Cricetulus griseus: one gene and its partners. Each later gene encodes a partner of the first gene's protein in a complex. Links are inferred from orthologs where the notes say so. Each region holds a gene or a part of one and is shown in the gene's direction. Other genes may lie near its edges.

Evidence for each region. Proteins that work in one complex are often made in the same cells at the same time.
Region 2: Nhp2 (region 1) and Wrap53 share a complex: the UniProt entries of both Homo sapiens proteins name them as parts of the telomerase holoenzyme complex. The link is inferred for Cricetulus griseus from reciprocal best matches to the Homo sapiens genes NHP2 and WRAP53.
Region 3: Nhp2 (region 1) and Tert share a complex: the UniProt entries of both Homo sapiens proteins name them as parts of the telomerase holoenzyme complex. The link is inferred for Cricetulus griseus from reciprocal best matches to the Homo sapiens genes NHP2 and TERT.
Region 4: Nhp2 (region 1) and Dkc1 share a complex: the UniProt entries of both Homo sapiens proteins name them as parts of the H/ACA small nucleolar ribonucleoprotein (H/ACA snoRNP) complex. The link is inferred for Cricetulus griseus from reciprocal best matches to the Homo sapiens genes NHP2 and DKC1.

What each region holds. Positions count from the first base shown.
Region 1 is NC_048600.1:65,901,354-65,905,579, forward strand, and holds the start of Nhp2 (H/ACA ribonucleoprotein complex subunit 2), read left to right. Parts: upstream 1-1,426; 5' UTR 1,427-1,508; coding exon 1,509-1,668; intron 1,669-1,765; coding exon 1,766-1,835; intron 1,836-4,226. UniProt on the Homo sapiens protein: Required for ribosome biogenesis and telomere maintenance. Part of the H/ACA small nucleolar ribonucleoprotein (H/ACA snoRNP) complex, which catalyzes pseudouridylation of rRNA.
Region 2 is NC_048600.1:83,400,026-83,402,337, reverse strand, and holds the end of Wrap53 (telomerase Cajal body protein 1), read left to right. Parts: intron 1-2; coding exon 3-135; intron 136-724; coding exon 725-933; intron 934-1,084; coding exon 1,085-1,188; intron 1,189-1,303; coding exon 1,304-1,438; intron 1,439-1,545; coding exon 1,546-1,792; 3' UTR 1,793-1,812; downstream 1,813-2,312. UniProt on the Homo sapiens protein: RNA chaperone that plays a key role in telomere maintenance and RNA localization to Cajal bodies. Specifically recognizes and binds the Cajal body box (CAB box) present in both small Cajal body RNAs (scaRNAs) and telomerase RNA template component (TERC).
Region 3 is NC_048595.1:368,314,578-368,318,077, forward strand, and holds part of Tert (telomerase reverse transcriptase), read left to right. Parts: intron 1-261; coding exon 262-375; intron 376-693; coding exon 694-765; intron 766-3,073; coding exon 3,074-3,262; intron 3,263-3,500. UniProt on the Homo sapiens protein: Telomerase is a ribonucleoprotein enzyme essential for the replication of chromosome termini in most eukaryotes. Active in progenitor and cancer cells. Inactive, or very low activity, in normal somatic cells.
Region 4 is NC_048604.1:743,458-746,957, reverse strand, and holds part of Dkc1 (H/ACA ribonucleoprotein complex subunit DKC1), read left to right. Parts: intron 1-2,837; coding exon 2,838-2,958; intron 2,959-3,500.

The sequences.
Region 1 (4,226 bases):
GGATTGTTATGCTTGTGTGTGTTACTTTGACATAAGTGTGAAGTAAAACTTATATACTCAAAACCAACTCGCTGAGTCTGTCATTCCTCCCAGGTCAAAACCTGGTAAGGGCTCGAGACAGAGTTCCAGAACCATTAGGGCTACACAGAGAAACCTTGTCTCAAAAATAAATAATAATGGTGTACACCTTTCATCCCAATCCTCAGGGAGTAGCGAAGGTGGATCTATTTCAGTTTAAGGCCATCAAAATCTACATAGTGAGTTTCAGGACAGGCAGGGCTAATTAATGAGACTTTGACTCAAAAAAACAAAAACAAAAACAAAAACAAACAAAAAACCCACACAAAGAAAAAAACACCACTAGTAGTTAATAAGTTCTTTATATTCATAAGCACTCCTGATGTTGATTTTCTTCTAAAGACGTATGGACTAGGCCGGGCGGTGGTGGCGCACGAATTTAATCCCAGCATTCAGGAGGCAGAGGCAGGTGGATCTCTGTGAGTTCGAGACCAGCCTGGTCTACAAGAGCTAGTTTCAGGACAGCCTCCAAAGCCACAGAGAAACTCTGTCTTGAAAAACCAAACAAACAAAAAAAAAAGCATGGGGCAGTTTGACTCCCTCATTAGTAGCTGGACTCTCCCTTGTTGCCCTGGCTGCCTGGAGCAAAAGGACAGTCAGTCTCACAGCCACCTGGGCCTCCTTTAGGCCAGCTAGCTCAGCTGGTACTTTCTATAATGCCTTCAGAAAATGATATAAGCACTTTGGCTGATTGCCATGGCTCCTGAAAGCATAGCCTCAGGCAAGACTGTTTGAAACAGTGTGTATCACTGTTTCAATCTGATGCCTGGATAAATGAATTTATATCACTACTTTTGTTTTACTTTTGAGGCAGTACCCTACTATGTTGCCCTAGGAGGGTCTCACTGTGTCGTCCTGGCAGGCCTTGAACTCACTATGTAAGACCAGGCTAACCTAAAACTCACACAGATCTACCTGCCTCTGCCTCCCCAGTGCAGGGATCAAAGGCGTGCGGCTTATAGCTTGAGCAACAATATTCAGGAAGGGAAAACGAAAACTTGAAAAAACCTTTAGCGGCACCAGGATTCAGCTAACCAGTAGCATCAGGTCACACCTGCCCAGGAGCTCAGGAGCCACACTACAGATTAATTCCTTTCGCCCCGCCCCTCTTCCCTTCCGACAAGACCCGCCTCTATCCCTATGGGCTCCGCCTCTCTATCCAAAGGCCCCGCCCCTTTCCCCTCTGAAACCCGACCTCTAAACTCCGCTACCGCGGGCGAAATCCAAACCCCGTGCCTAGATTGCCTTGTGACTCCGCCCCTACAGCCAAGACCCCGCCCCTCGCAGACATATTTACAGATTGGACGGTACAGAATACCTCGTTTCCCAATTGGTCACAGGGAAGGGCAGCTTCATGACCCGGAAGTGATCTCGGAGGCGGCGGCCGCGTGGTTCGTGTATTCACCTACTGGATTGCCGCAGTCTCTAAGATGACCAAAATAAAGTCCGTTCCGGAGGAGTCTGAGGCGCAGGCGGAGGGCTGCAGCGAGGAGCGCACGTACGAGGAGCTGCTGGTCAACCTGAACCCCATCGCGCAGCCGCTGGCGTCCCGCCGCCTGACGCGCAAGCTCTACAAGTGCATCAAGAAGGGTGAGGCGGCAGGGCGCGTGGCGAACGCGGGGCGGAGCGGGCGGCGGGCAGGCGGGCACGGGCTGGACGAAGTCGCGGCTCACCCTTCTCTTTGCAGCCGTGAAGCAGAAGCAGATTCGGCGTGGGGTGAAGGAGGTTCAGAAATTTGTCAACAAAGGCGAGAAAGGGTAAGAACCAATCCTCACATTGGTTTTTAAGTTTTATGTGTGTGGTTTTTTTTTTTTTTTTTTTTGCAGCTCTGGGGATTGAACCTAGGGCCTGTGCATGCTAGACAATTAACTCTGCCACTTGAGTTTGCGTTTTCAGTTGGTTAAGACTGAATTACACCTACTTAAGTGCTCAGTAAAGGTGAAGTTTACTCTGGCCTGAACTGCCTTCACTACAGACACCCACATCACTTACAGGAGCTCCCAATGAACTACAGGGAAGAGAACCCAGACCACGTATCCCGCCCTGTTCGTTCGTTCTGTGGATTGGCAGTTCTTTTCTGGAAAGCTTCAGGCAACATGCTGTAGGGAGACATCTTCCCAAGTAGGCCAGAGGAGAATGAGGGCTACTTTCCACTGCATAGCAAGTTTAAAGCAAGCATGACTATGAAAACGTTACAAAAAACCAAAAGGATAGAATGATAGCCGGGAGTGGTGGTGCAGGCGTTTGTTTAATCCATCACTTGGGAAGCAGAGGCAGGCAGATCTCTTGAGTTCCAGGACAGCCAGAACTGTGTATAGATACACTATCTCAAACTAACAACAAAGGAGAGAATGGATGAATGTTGGTTTGGGGGTTTGGGATCCTGAGAAGTATCTCATGAAGGCCTTTCAATTTTTTTTTCTTTTTGACTTATTTTGTGTGTGAATGTTTTGCCTAAACATATATGTGTGTCACTGGTGTCCTTGGAGATCAGAAGAAAGCAAAGTGTCAGATCCCCTTAGACTGGAGTTACAGATGATTATGTACCACCATGTGGGTGCTGGGAATTGAATGTGGGCCCTCTGGAAGACCAGCTGAGGCACCTCTCTAGTCCTTGTGGGGCTTGTTTGGTTTTTGTTCTCAAAGCAAAGTGAACACTGAGAAGTGCTATTGAGGAAGAATCAGGAGAGGCAAGTCAGACTTAGGAAGCTGTTGCTGTAGCCCAAGTGAGGGGTCGGGACTAGAGTGAAGGTTGGAGGATTAGAGAGGACAGTGACAGGTCTGTGCCTCCCGTGCGCCCGTTTGGGGTGTAGTCTGTGACTGCAGACAGTGAAGGAAAACCATGTTTGTCTGAAAACACTTTAGGTGTGGTTTTAGACAACTTTTCAGTATTTCAAAGGGTACCTTTATTACATGTGTATGTGCCTGCATACATATGTTGCATACATGTGCACTCTGGTGCTTATGTGGGTGTCAGAGGACAACTTGGGAGAGTTGATTTTCTCCACCATTTCCGTTCCGGGGACTGACCGAACTCAGGTACCTGGGGTTGGCAGTGAGTGCTTATATCCACTGAGGCATCCTGAGTTGACATGGAAAATGTCCTGGACATGCTATGCTTCCCTGTCCTCTTAACAGATGGTTGTGTTTGGTGGGGCAAACGAGGCCTGGTATTTCCAGGTGGCACCTGGCACCATGATTATGGGTCAGGGTAGCCAAGGAGAAGGGAGCACAAGGGAGGGCAGGCAAGCAACAGGCAGTGAGGACCAGTGCTAGGCCAAAGGGAATGAACTATGGAATCAGGGTTTTGAACCAAGGATTCTTGATCTGTCACTCACCCTTAAAGAATATTCTTCCTCTGGGCGGATCATTAGGACTATGGGTCTGTACAGAACACTGACAACTCACAACTTTAGTTGACATTTTTACTCTGGCAAACTTTCTCTTGGAGCCAGGCGTTGGTGGTGCACACCTTTAATCCCAACACTCGGGAAGCAGAGGCAGGCGGATCTATGTGAGTTCGAGACCAGCCTGGACAGCCTCTAAAGCCACAGAGAAACCCGGTCTCGAAACGGCCCCCCCCCCCAAAAAAAAAAAAAAAACCTTTCTCTTGGGACAGACCCTGTCTGTTTTCAGACCCCTGCCAATTTCTATGGCTTTGTTTTTTGGTCCTCTCCTGTATGTATTGCAAAAGGCGACCCTTGTTCTTGGCAACCAGCCTTTCAGTACCACTCTGTTCCCTTGGCCTTATTCTGTCCCTGCCCCTGCCATTCTAGGAGCCTATTTGTGGCACTCAAGTCTCTGTTGGAGTCATCTCCTAGCCGGGCAGTGGTGGTGCACACCTTTAACCCCAGCACTTGGGAGGCAGAGGCAGGCAGATCCCAGTGAGTTCGAGGTCAGCCTGGTCTACAGAGCGAGTTCCAGGACAGCCAGGACTATCGTACACAGAAACACTGCCTCGAAGAACCAAAAAAAGAGTCATCTCCTAGAATGTCACTGACACTTAAGAGCTGAGTTTCTATTTCTTGGCATTCCTCCCATACCTCATCTGTCCCAGCATTGTACCGCTTGTCACATTTGGTGGTATTTATGTGCTGTCAAATAGAGATCATGTCCCCCAGAAGAAATACATTTGCCAAACACGACTT
Region 2 (2,312 bases), about 17 Mb from region 1:
AGGACGAATTGACAGCGGCTCACTCTCTCTGCTTCTCCCCGGATGGTTCCCAACTCTTCTGTGGCTTCAACCGGACTGTGCGTGTCTTTTCCACATCCAGGCCTGGTAGAGACTGCGAGGTGCGAGCCACATTTGGTAAGCCTCCGAGGGGGAGGAGATGAAAGAACAGCACCTGCAAAGGGGCCTTGTGTGAGCTGGGCCACCTGTGGGTTTCTCATCATCCTTAGTACAAGCCTGGGTGGCACTTGCCAGCTGCAGAAGAGACACCGACTCAGCTTGGAGGAAGCCCCCAAGGTCAACCAGTTGACTAGAAAGCCAGGTTAACTCCTAACCCATCCATGCCTGTCAAATGTGTACTTTGTGGTCTCTCAAAACCTTGTTAATAGCTAGAAATTGTTTTTATTTTACTCTTTCTTACAGTGCCTGGGATTGAACCCAAGGTCTTGTTAGGCAAGCACTGTGCCACTGAACTTTATGAAATTGAAGGGAAAGGGAGTCCGTTTCCTGTAGGCCTGTAGCTCTCCATCCCTTCCAGGAAAAACTGGGGTATGAGCGGGGAGAGGGAGACTTTAGGAGAGTGAAATGACTTGGGAAGTATCAGAACTTCAGATTGCTTGTGACAAATGGTGGGGAATGAGTCCCTGCATGTCAGTACTAGGACAGGGTACAGAGGGCTGAGGCTAGTTACTGTCCTGTGCTAATTGTTCTCCTGTTTCATCTCCAGCAAAGAAGCAGGGCCAGAGCGGCATCATCTCCTGTATAGCCTTTAGTCCATCCCAGCCCCTTTACGCCTGTGGCTCCTATGGCCGTACACTAGGCCTGTATGCCTGGGATGATGGTTCTCCTCTCGCCTTGCTGGGAGGCCATCAAGGGGGTATCACCCACCTTTGCTTTCACCCCGATGGCAACCTCTTCTTCTCAGGAGCCCGAAAGGTACTGGTCAGAGCCCAGAGTATGTGGGCGGCAGGATTGGGGATGTCGTCTGTAATGGGATGAAACCAAGTTTGGAGGACTTGGGGGTGCTGAGGTGGAGACAGAGAATTGGGGGGGGGGGCGCACTTCAGACTCCTGTACTTGTCTTCAGGATGCCGAACTTCTGTGCTGGGATCTCCGGCAGCCTGGCCACCTCCTGTGGTCTTTGAGTCGGGAAGTGACCACCAATCAGCGCATCTACTTTGATCTGGACCCGTAAGTGGCCGTCCCCCCCTCTTCCCTTTCCAGGTTCATCCTCAGCCCCTGGATAGGAATGGCTTCTACCCCCAGAGTGATGCCTATCTGCCCACAAGTTTCCCTTCTTTTCCAGGAGTGGGCAGTTCTTAGTGAGTGGCAACACCAATGGAATGGTCTCTGTGTGGGACATCAATGGAGCTGTCAGTGACAGCAAGCTGGGACCTGTGATGACTTTTCTGCCCCAGAAGGACTGCACCAATGGAGTGAGGTCCTCACTTCACTGAAGGGGCTTGGGGGAGGGGGGGGTTGGGGAGGAAGGTGGATCTTCCAGGTGACATCCTGACCTAGGTGCTGACAGCCTGTTCTCTCCTCCAGCCTTCACCCTAGCTTGCCTCTACTGGCTACTGCTTCCGGCCAGCGCATGTTTCCAGAGCCCACCAACAGTGGAGATGAAGGCGAGCCGGAGGGGGATCTTCCCCTGCTCTCCCTATGCCACGCCCATCCTGAATGGCGGCTTCAGCTCTGGTGGTGTGGAGGGGGACCAGACCCCAGCAGCCCTAATGACCACCAAGATGAGAAGGGACAAGGAAGGACAGAGGGCTGTGGGGATGAGTTAATATAAAGATTTTGTATAATACTGGAGTCATTGTGTCTGTTTGGGGTGGCACGTGACTGGTAGGAGCTTGGTGGGGGTATTAGTAGATTCCTTTGTCCAGCATCTGTGGGGTCTGGCATATTGTTCCCAAAACCAGGGGTTGAGAGGTGGGACCAGGCAGGAGCCAATGAGGTACTGAGCATGGTGTGAAGTCAAGCAGGTGGGGGTGGGGCCTCATGCCATTGACTAGATGGTTGCTAGGCAACTTGGTAAACTGAGGAGCAAACCTGTTTGAAATCTCACTCCTGTGGTGGCTGCATTAGGGGTCAGGGTGAGTTGGCCTAAACAGGGGTGTCAGGAGCTCAGTGGCAGACTGTTGAGTGTGACTGTGTGAGACTAAGCAGACAGTGACAGACAAGTCAGCGCTGATGGCTGCACACACACCGCACTGTTTACCTTCATCCAACTGCAGAGGGGAAGGGTGCAAGAACACTGTGCTCCCCTGCACCCCAGTAGGCAGAGTCAAGGACACACGGGAGGAGTAATC
Region 3 (3,500 bases), on another chromosome or scaffold:
AATGGGGATGTAGCCCCCCACCACCCCAGGTTGTAGTAAGAGTTGGGAATGGGAGAGATAAGGGTGGTACTGAGTTTGGAGTCTTTTTGGGTCTTGGCAACTGACAGTAGTAGATATTACTGTTTGTTTACGTGGTCTTTGAGCATGTTTACAAAATGGTGTATGTCTGTGTACATATTTATACATGGGGGGTTGTCAAATGTGAGTGTGAAGCCCACCATGGCTGCTGCTTCTGACCTTAACCACCACTGCCATCCCCAGGTGCTATGTCCAGTGCCAGGGCATCCCCCAGGGCTCCAGCCTGTCCACCCTGCTCTGCAGTCTGTGTTTCGGAGACATGGAGAACAAGCTGTTTGCTGAGGTGCAGAAGGATGGGTAAATTGCTTGTTTTTACTGCTCCAAGGGCCTGGGTCATGAGTTGCCATATCTTCACACTTGGAGTTCCCAGCTCACTGAGTGGGTGTGACAGTTGCTTTATGTCCGAGATGTAAAGGTCATCCATTGCCTTCACTTCGTGCAAAGCTGCAAAGTGCACCAGAGCTATGTCTGTTAGGAAGACAGTAAAGCTGTCGTTTATCTTCTTTTGAAATACCACTTTGTTTTGTCTTTGTGCATTGTGACACCTAAAATGTTTCAGGTTGGATCCCCTACAGGTGGATTCTGTGTGAAACCTGTCAACATGTCTCATTTTAGGCTGCTTTTGCGTTTTGTTGATGACTTTCTGTTGGTGACACCTCACCTGGTCCAGGCGGAAGCCTTCCTCAGGTAAGGACTGCTATGCCTGGGTTTCTGCCGTATGATCATGATGTATGTGCAGCTGAGGCAGCACATTTAATCGGTTTATAATTTTGTGTTCCTGGAGCTCGTGTTGTCACCAAGACCTAGTGGCACCTCTACCAAGTGGCAGGGTCACCTCACCTGTGCAGCCAGACATGGGTACCTCCAGCACCAAGGAAGAGAGTATGGCACCCATGGCTGGTCCGACATGGTCTCTCCGAGGATGCAGTGCGGTCAGAGACCGGGTCATTTCCAGTATTTGGAAAGTCTTCAGATGAGACAACAGGCAGTAACTCCTATGCCTCCCAGCCAAGCCCACAGAAGGGCTGTTTGCAGAGGCCTAAGGCACTTAGCCCTTCTAGAAGATGTGAGCATAGCTGTCTTAATTAGAGTTTTTTGGGGGGGCGGGAGTTTGGGTTTTTCGAAACAGGGTTTCTCTGTGGCTTTGGAGGCTGTCCTGAACTAGCTCTTGTAGACCAGGCTGGTCTCAAAATCACAGAGATCCTCCTGCCTCTGTTAATTAGACTTTCTATTGCTCTGAAGAGACACTGTGACAACAGCAACCCTTACAAAGGAAAGCACTTAATTGAGGCTAGCTTACAGTTTCAGAGGGTTAGTCCATTGTCATCACTGTGAAAAGCATGGCACTGTGCAGGCAGACATGGTGCTGGAGAGGTAGCAGAGAGTTCTACATCTTGATCTGCCAGCAACAGGAAGGACTGTGTGCCACACTAGGTGTAGCTTGCGAATATGAAACCCCAAATTCTGGCTCTAGTGACATGCTTCCTCCAACAAGGCCACACCTCGTAATAGTGCTACTCCCTATGGGCCAAGCATTCAAACACATAAGTCTATGGGGCCATACCTATTCAAACCATTCCTGATAACTTTGAGACTTCACACCACACCATGAAGAACAGGCACTGGGTGAACAGGCCCATGGCTCTGTAGAGTAACTTTTCTTTATGGATTGTTAGGAAGAGACCAGAGAATTTGTACTTACTAAACATTGGTGTTTTGAGACATGGCTGTTGTATTAGGAGTGGTCATTTTTCTTACATTAATATTCATACTAGTGAGTTATAGTATGTATCCCAGGCTGTTTGTAGTATATAGAGGTGAGGTCAGGGTTATTGCATATCTGGGTGTAAAGTTAATTTTTGTGGTTCAAGCTAGAATTGAGCACTGCAGCCCTGCTTCAGAGCAGGACCATCAAGTGAGGTTCCTTGGGCACCACAGAGTTTGAGGGTTCCTTCAGATCATGTATTATAGAGGAAGCCCCCTCAGGCGCTGTGAAGTTTGTAGACCTCCTTTTAGGGTAATTGACAAGAGGAAAAACCTGAATGTGATTAATTAAGCCGAGCCCTCAGAAGTTGTCACCACTGAGGTATTGGTGTTTCTGGAAACACTAAATGCTGTCCAGTTTCAAATTTGCCCAACAGGGCTCTTTTGGGCATAGTGTCCTCGAGCCCAGTAGGTTGTGCATGTCAAGGTAGGTAGAATGAGGTGAGAACAGCCCCAGTGTGTCCCTGTCACATCTGTATCAATCAGAAGCTACATGGCCCATACATAGACAGTGGCCACTGGGGACAGAGGACAGACACTGCTGCTGTTGAGGAAAGTTCCAGAAGTCAGTTTTGTCCCTAAGACCTTGTCAGGGAAGTGGCTCTGGATCAATGTCAGATCACCAGGTGATGGGGCCACTAGGTGGGGGCTGTCCATGGACACCTGTAGGAAATATTTACTACAAGGAGCTGGCCAGGGCAGCTGCAAGGACTGACTAGTCACAGGCAGGTGGATGGCATCAGGTGTTCCCACCCATGGGACAGGAGCTAGACTACTGCCAGACTGCCAGTGTGAGTTCACTCTGAGGAAGGGTACACATTTACTTTCAACTCACTGGGGAGGTCTTCAACTCACAGGCAAGCAGTCAGTTTAGCATTTGCTGGGAGGGGAAGCAATCCACATCTACAGGCATCTCAACGTATAAGAAAACAGACTTTTTGGGTGAGGGGGAGAGGGTCCCTTGCTACATGGATGTTAAGGTATAACCATCAGATGGTTATGTGAACCTTCCTACTTGTTTGACTCCTGGCCATCTTGTTCTGAGCTGGCCCTATTGCTTACACAGAAGAGCAGCCCCAGGCTACAGTCTGGACCAAGACTGCCTGGTATTCCATCAGGGTTACCCACAAGGACCCACTCTCTCTGATCCCAGAACATCTCTGGGTATCTTTGTGACATGTGCTGAGTGTGCTTCCAGGGTTCCATAACCAATGTTTCCTCTCTTACTCAGGGCCCTCGTCCATGGCATTCCTGAGTACGGCTGCATGATAAACTTGCAGAAGACAGTGGTAAACTTCCCTGTGGACCCTGGTGCCCTGGATGGTACAGCTCCACACCAGTTGCCTGCTCACTGCCTGTTTCCCTGGTGTGGCTTACTGCTGGACACTCAGACTCTGGAGGTGTTTTGTGACTACACTGGGTAAGTACATCTGGCTGAGTTGAGGACCCATGAGCTCCTGGGGGCAGAAGATGCAATGGGATGCTCCATTCTTTTTCCTGTTGAGGAACCATGAGCTCCGGGGGGCAACTCACCCCGGAGGTCTTTGACTCATAGGCAAGTAATCGGTTTAGCATTTGCTGGTAGGGGAACCAATCCACATCCATGGTTCCCCTATTGAGGAACCATGAGCTCCTGCTGTGTGGTGTTCCATCCTGTT
Region 4 (3,500 bases), on another chromosome or scaffold:
TTACTATAAAAGATTTTTCAATAGGTAAAGGTTAGGACTACAGAGTTTCAGAGGTATGTTATTTACCCTGTAGGGATTTCAATCAAATGCTCCTTCTGTTGAAGAACATTACCATTTGAGACACTATAATCCAGACTTCACTGAGCTGATCATCAGCTCTTATTGTATATTTACCTTGTAATCAGAAATGGTCCCAATGATTTCAGTGAATATTATGTAGTCATGATTTTTTGAAAGACAAATTTCTGTATGTGTAACAGTTTGTGGTGAGATACTTATAAATATTTAATCTTAAAATGTGTAAGTCTTCTGAAAACTTATGTTTTTGTTCATAATAAAGGGAAAAATTGAAGAGATACACTAAGGTGTTACACTAACAGGAAGCTTAACCACATAATTGTATAAATGTGATGTGCCTTTCTTATGCTGGGGTCAGACTGTTGGCTTCTGAGTGAATTTAAAGAGAACTTAAGAATATGGTCAGCAAGATGGACATACATATGCATTTGGGGTTGCAGAACTGGAGAAGTGGCCTTAATTCGCACTTACAGGCTAATTCCATATAGAAATGTAGATGTGATTTAGCAGGTCTGGTGGTTTTGTTAGCATGTTACTTTGGGTATCTGTTATGTCTGTTATTGCTTCATTTCTAGTAAATGTGCTATTTTTTCCTGACAAAAATCCAAGAGCAGTTCTATGGAACACTGATAGAAAACACTGAGGCAGGTTTTGATTTTTTGTTTTTGCTTGTTAGTTTTATGGTAAAACCATTTTTTTTCTGAGACAGGGTTTCTTTGTGTAGCCCTGGCTGGCCAGAACCAGCTCTTTAGACCAGGCTGGCCTCGAACTCAGAGATCTACCTGCCTCCCGTGTGCTGGGATTAAAGGTGTGTGCCACCAAAGCCCGGCCCAAAACTATTTTTCTATTTAATTTTTTTTTTCATTTTACATACTAGCCCTAGTTCCCCCTCCCTCCACCTTATCCCCCATCCACTCTCTGATGGAGTAAGGCCTCCCTTGGGGAGTCCACAAAGTCTGGCATACCAAGTTGATGCAGGACCAAGCCCATTCCCCCTGTATCAAGGCTGAGCAAGGTATCCCACCATAGGGAATGGACTCCAAAGAGCCAGTTCATACCCCTAGGATAGGTCCTGGTGCCACTGCCAGTGCCCCTCCCCCAACAGATAAATCACACTAATGTCACTCACATTCAGAGTGTCTAGTTTGGTCCCATGCAGGTTCCCTAGTTGCCAGTCCACAGTCCATGAGCTCCCACTAGCTCAGGTCTGTTGTCTCTGTGGTTTTCCCTTTTCCCCATCATGGTATTAACTCCCCCCTTCATGTGATCCCTCCTCCCTCTCTTCATCTAAGTTCCAGGAGCTTAGCACAGTGCTTGGCTGTGGGTCACTGCATCTGCTTGCATCAGTTACTGGATGTAGGTTCTATGATTATACTTGGGGTATCCACCAATCTGATTATAGGGGAAGGCCAGTTCAGGCATCCTTTCCACTATTGCTTGGAGTCTTAGCTGGGAATTTCTCTAGCACCAAGCTTCTCCCTAACCCCATAATGACTTCCTCTATCAAGATATCTCTTTTCATTGCTTCCCCTTTCCATCTCTTCCCCCAACTCGGCCCTTGTGTTCCCATCCCCCATCCCCTATTCCCCATCCCCTCTCTTCTACCCTCCTTCCCAGTTTACCCAGTAGATCTTAGCTGTTTCCCTTTCCTGGGCCCTCCTTTCTTAGGGTCCTCCTTTTTACCTAGCTTCTCTGGAGTTGTTGTATGTATATGTATGCATATACACAGAGGTTGGTTGAGGACAACATATGGGAGTTGTTCTCTCCTTCCACCATATGGATTACAAGGATCAAACTTGGGTAATCAGGCCAGTGCAAGTACCTTTTCCTGCTGAGCCATTTCTCTGGTCCCTAAGACAGGATTCATATTGTTTTATGTGTATGAATATTTTGTTTGCATGCATGCACACCTGGGGCCTACAAAGGTCAGAAAATGGTGTTGGGTCCCCTTGGACTGGATTTACATTTTTTTTACAGGCACTGTATCTCTAGTTTTTTGCTCTAGATGACAATGTTCATGGGCCACATAATAAGAGTCCAGTGCCCTACTTGTATAGACCAGTGAAGGAGGAGGGGAGGGATTCTTTTTTTTTCCTCCATTTTTTATTTGAGTAAGAAACAGGATTGTTTTACATGTCAATCCCAGTTCCCTCTTCCTCACCTTCCCCCTACTAACACCCTACCTCTCCCATACCCTTTCTGCTCCCCAGGGAGGGTGAGGCCTTCCATAGGATGTCATCAGAGTCTATCATATCCTTTGGGATAGGGCCTAGACCCACCCCTGTGTGTCTAGGCTCAGGGAGTATCCTCTATGTGGAATGGGCTCCCAAAGTCCATTGAGGGGAAGCATTCTTAATTTTTATTATGTGTTGTGATGTATGTGTGTGTGAGAGCACATACATAATGCAATGTGTATTTAGAGCTAAGAGCTTAATTTGGTGGGGTCAGTTTCCTCCTTTCATCTATGTTTTGGGATTGAATTTGGGTCATCAGACTTGCTGAGTCATCTTTAAGGTTTTCTTTAGTATTGTGTAGCATATGTAAAAATTTTAGAACAGTGCTAGCATGTGATAGGTATTTGTTATTTAATGTTCTGTGTTCCTTCATACTTCATTATAGTCATTGGACTATTAGTGTTATCACTCCTATTTCCACTGTCAGGCTACCTTCCCCCTTATAGTCTTTCTCTGTTCTGGTATGGAAGTAGAACAGGGATAATGGATAACATCACGCCCTCATATTTGATACTGTCTCCATAGGTGAATGCAATCTGCTATGGGGCCAAGATCATGCTTCCTGGTGTTCTCCGATATGAGGATGGCATTGAGGTCAACCAGGAAATTGTGGTCATTACCACCAAAGGAGAAGCCATCTGCATGGGTAAGGAGGGGAGTAGTCCTCATTATTTCTGGAGTTGGGGCTCTGCACCATCAAAGCTAGGTTCATTATGGGCCAGTTCAATATCATGGTCCCTCAATTCTATCTAATTAGAGTGTCTCCTTGGGCTTGTATGAACAATTTATGAATGGGCAGATAATTAGGTACAGATTAAGGAGAAAGAAATATTGTACATTTATATGCTCTTGGCTCTTTAGTGAAACTCCCAGTGTAAGAGTATAGGGATGGTTGTCTGTGATGATTAAAGGAGAGATTTTAATTTACTCCTTGTTTGCTTTCAGATAACTTGTAATTAGTGTCAGTGACTTCTATTGTTTTTTCAGGACTGGGTTTCTCTGTTTTAGCCTTGGCTATCCTGGAACTCCCTCTGTAGACTAGGTTGGCTTTGGACTCAGATTCAACTACCTCTGCTTTCTGAGTGCTGGGACTAAAGGCATGTGCCAACACCACCTGGCACATGCTTTTAATTTGTAAAGGTTTAGCTACTCTTTGATTGCACTCAGTTATAGTGCTCTGTGCCCTTT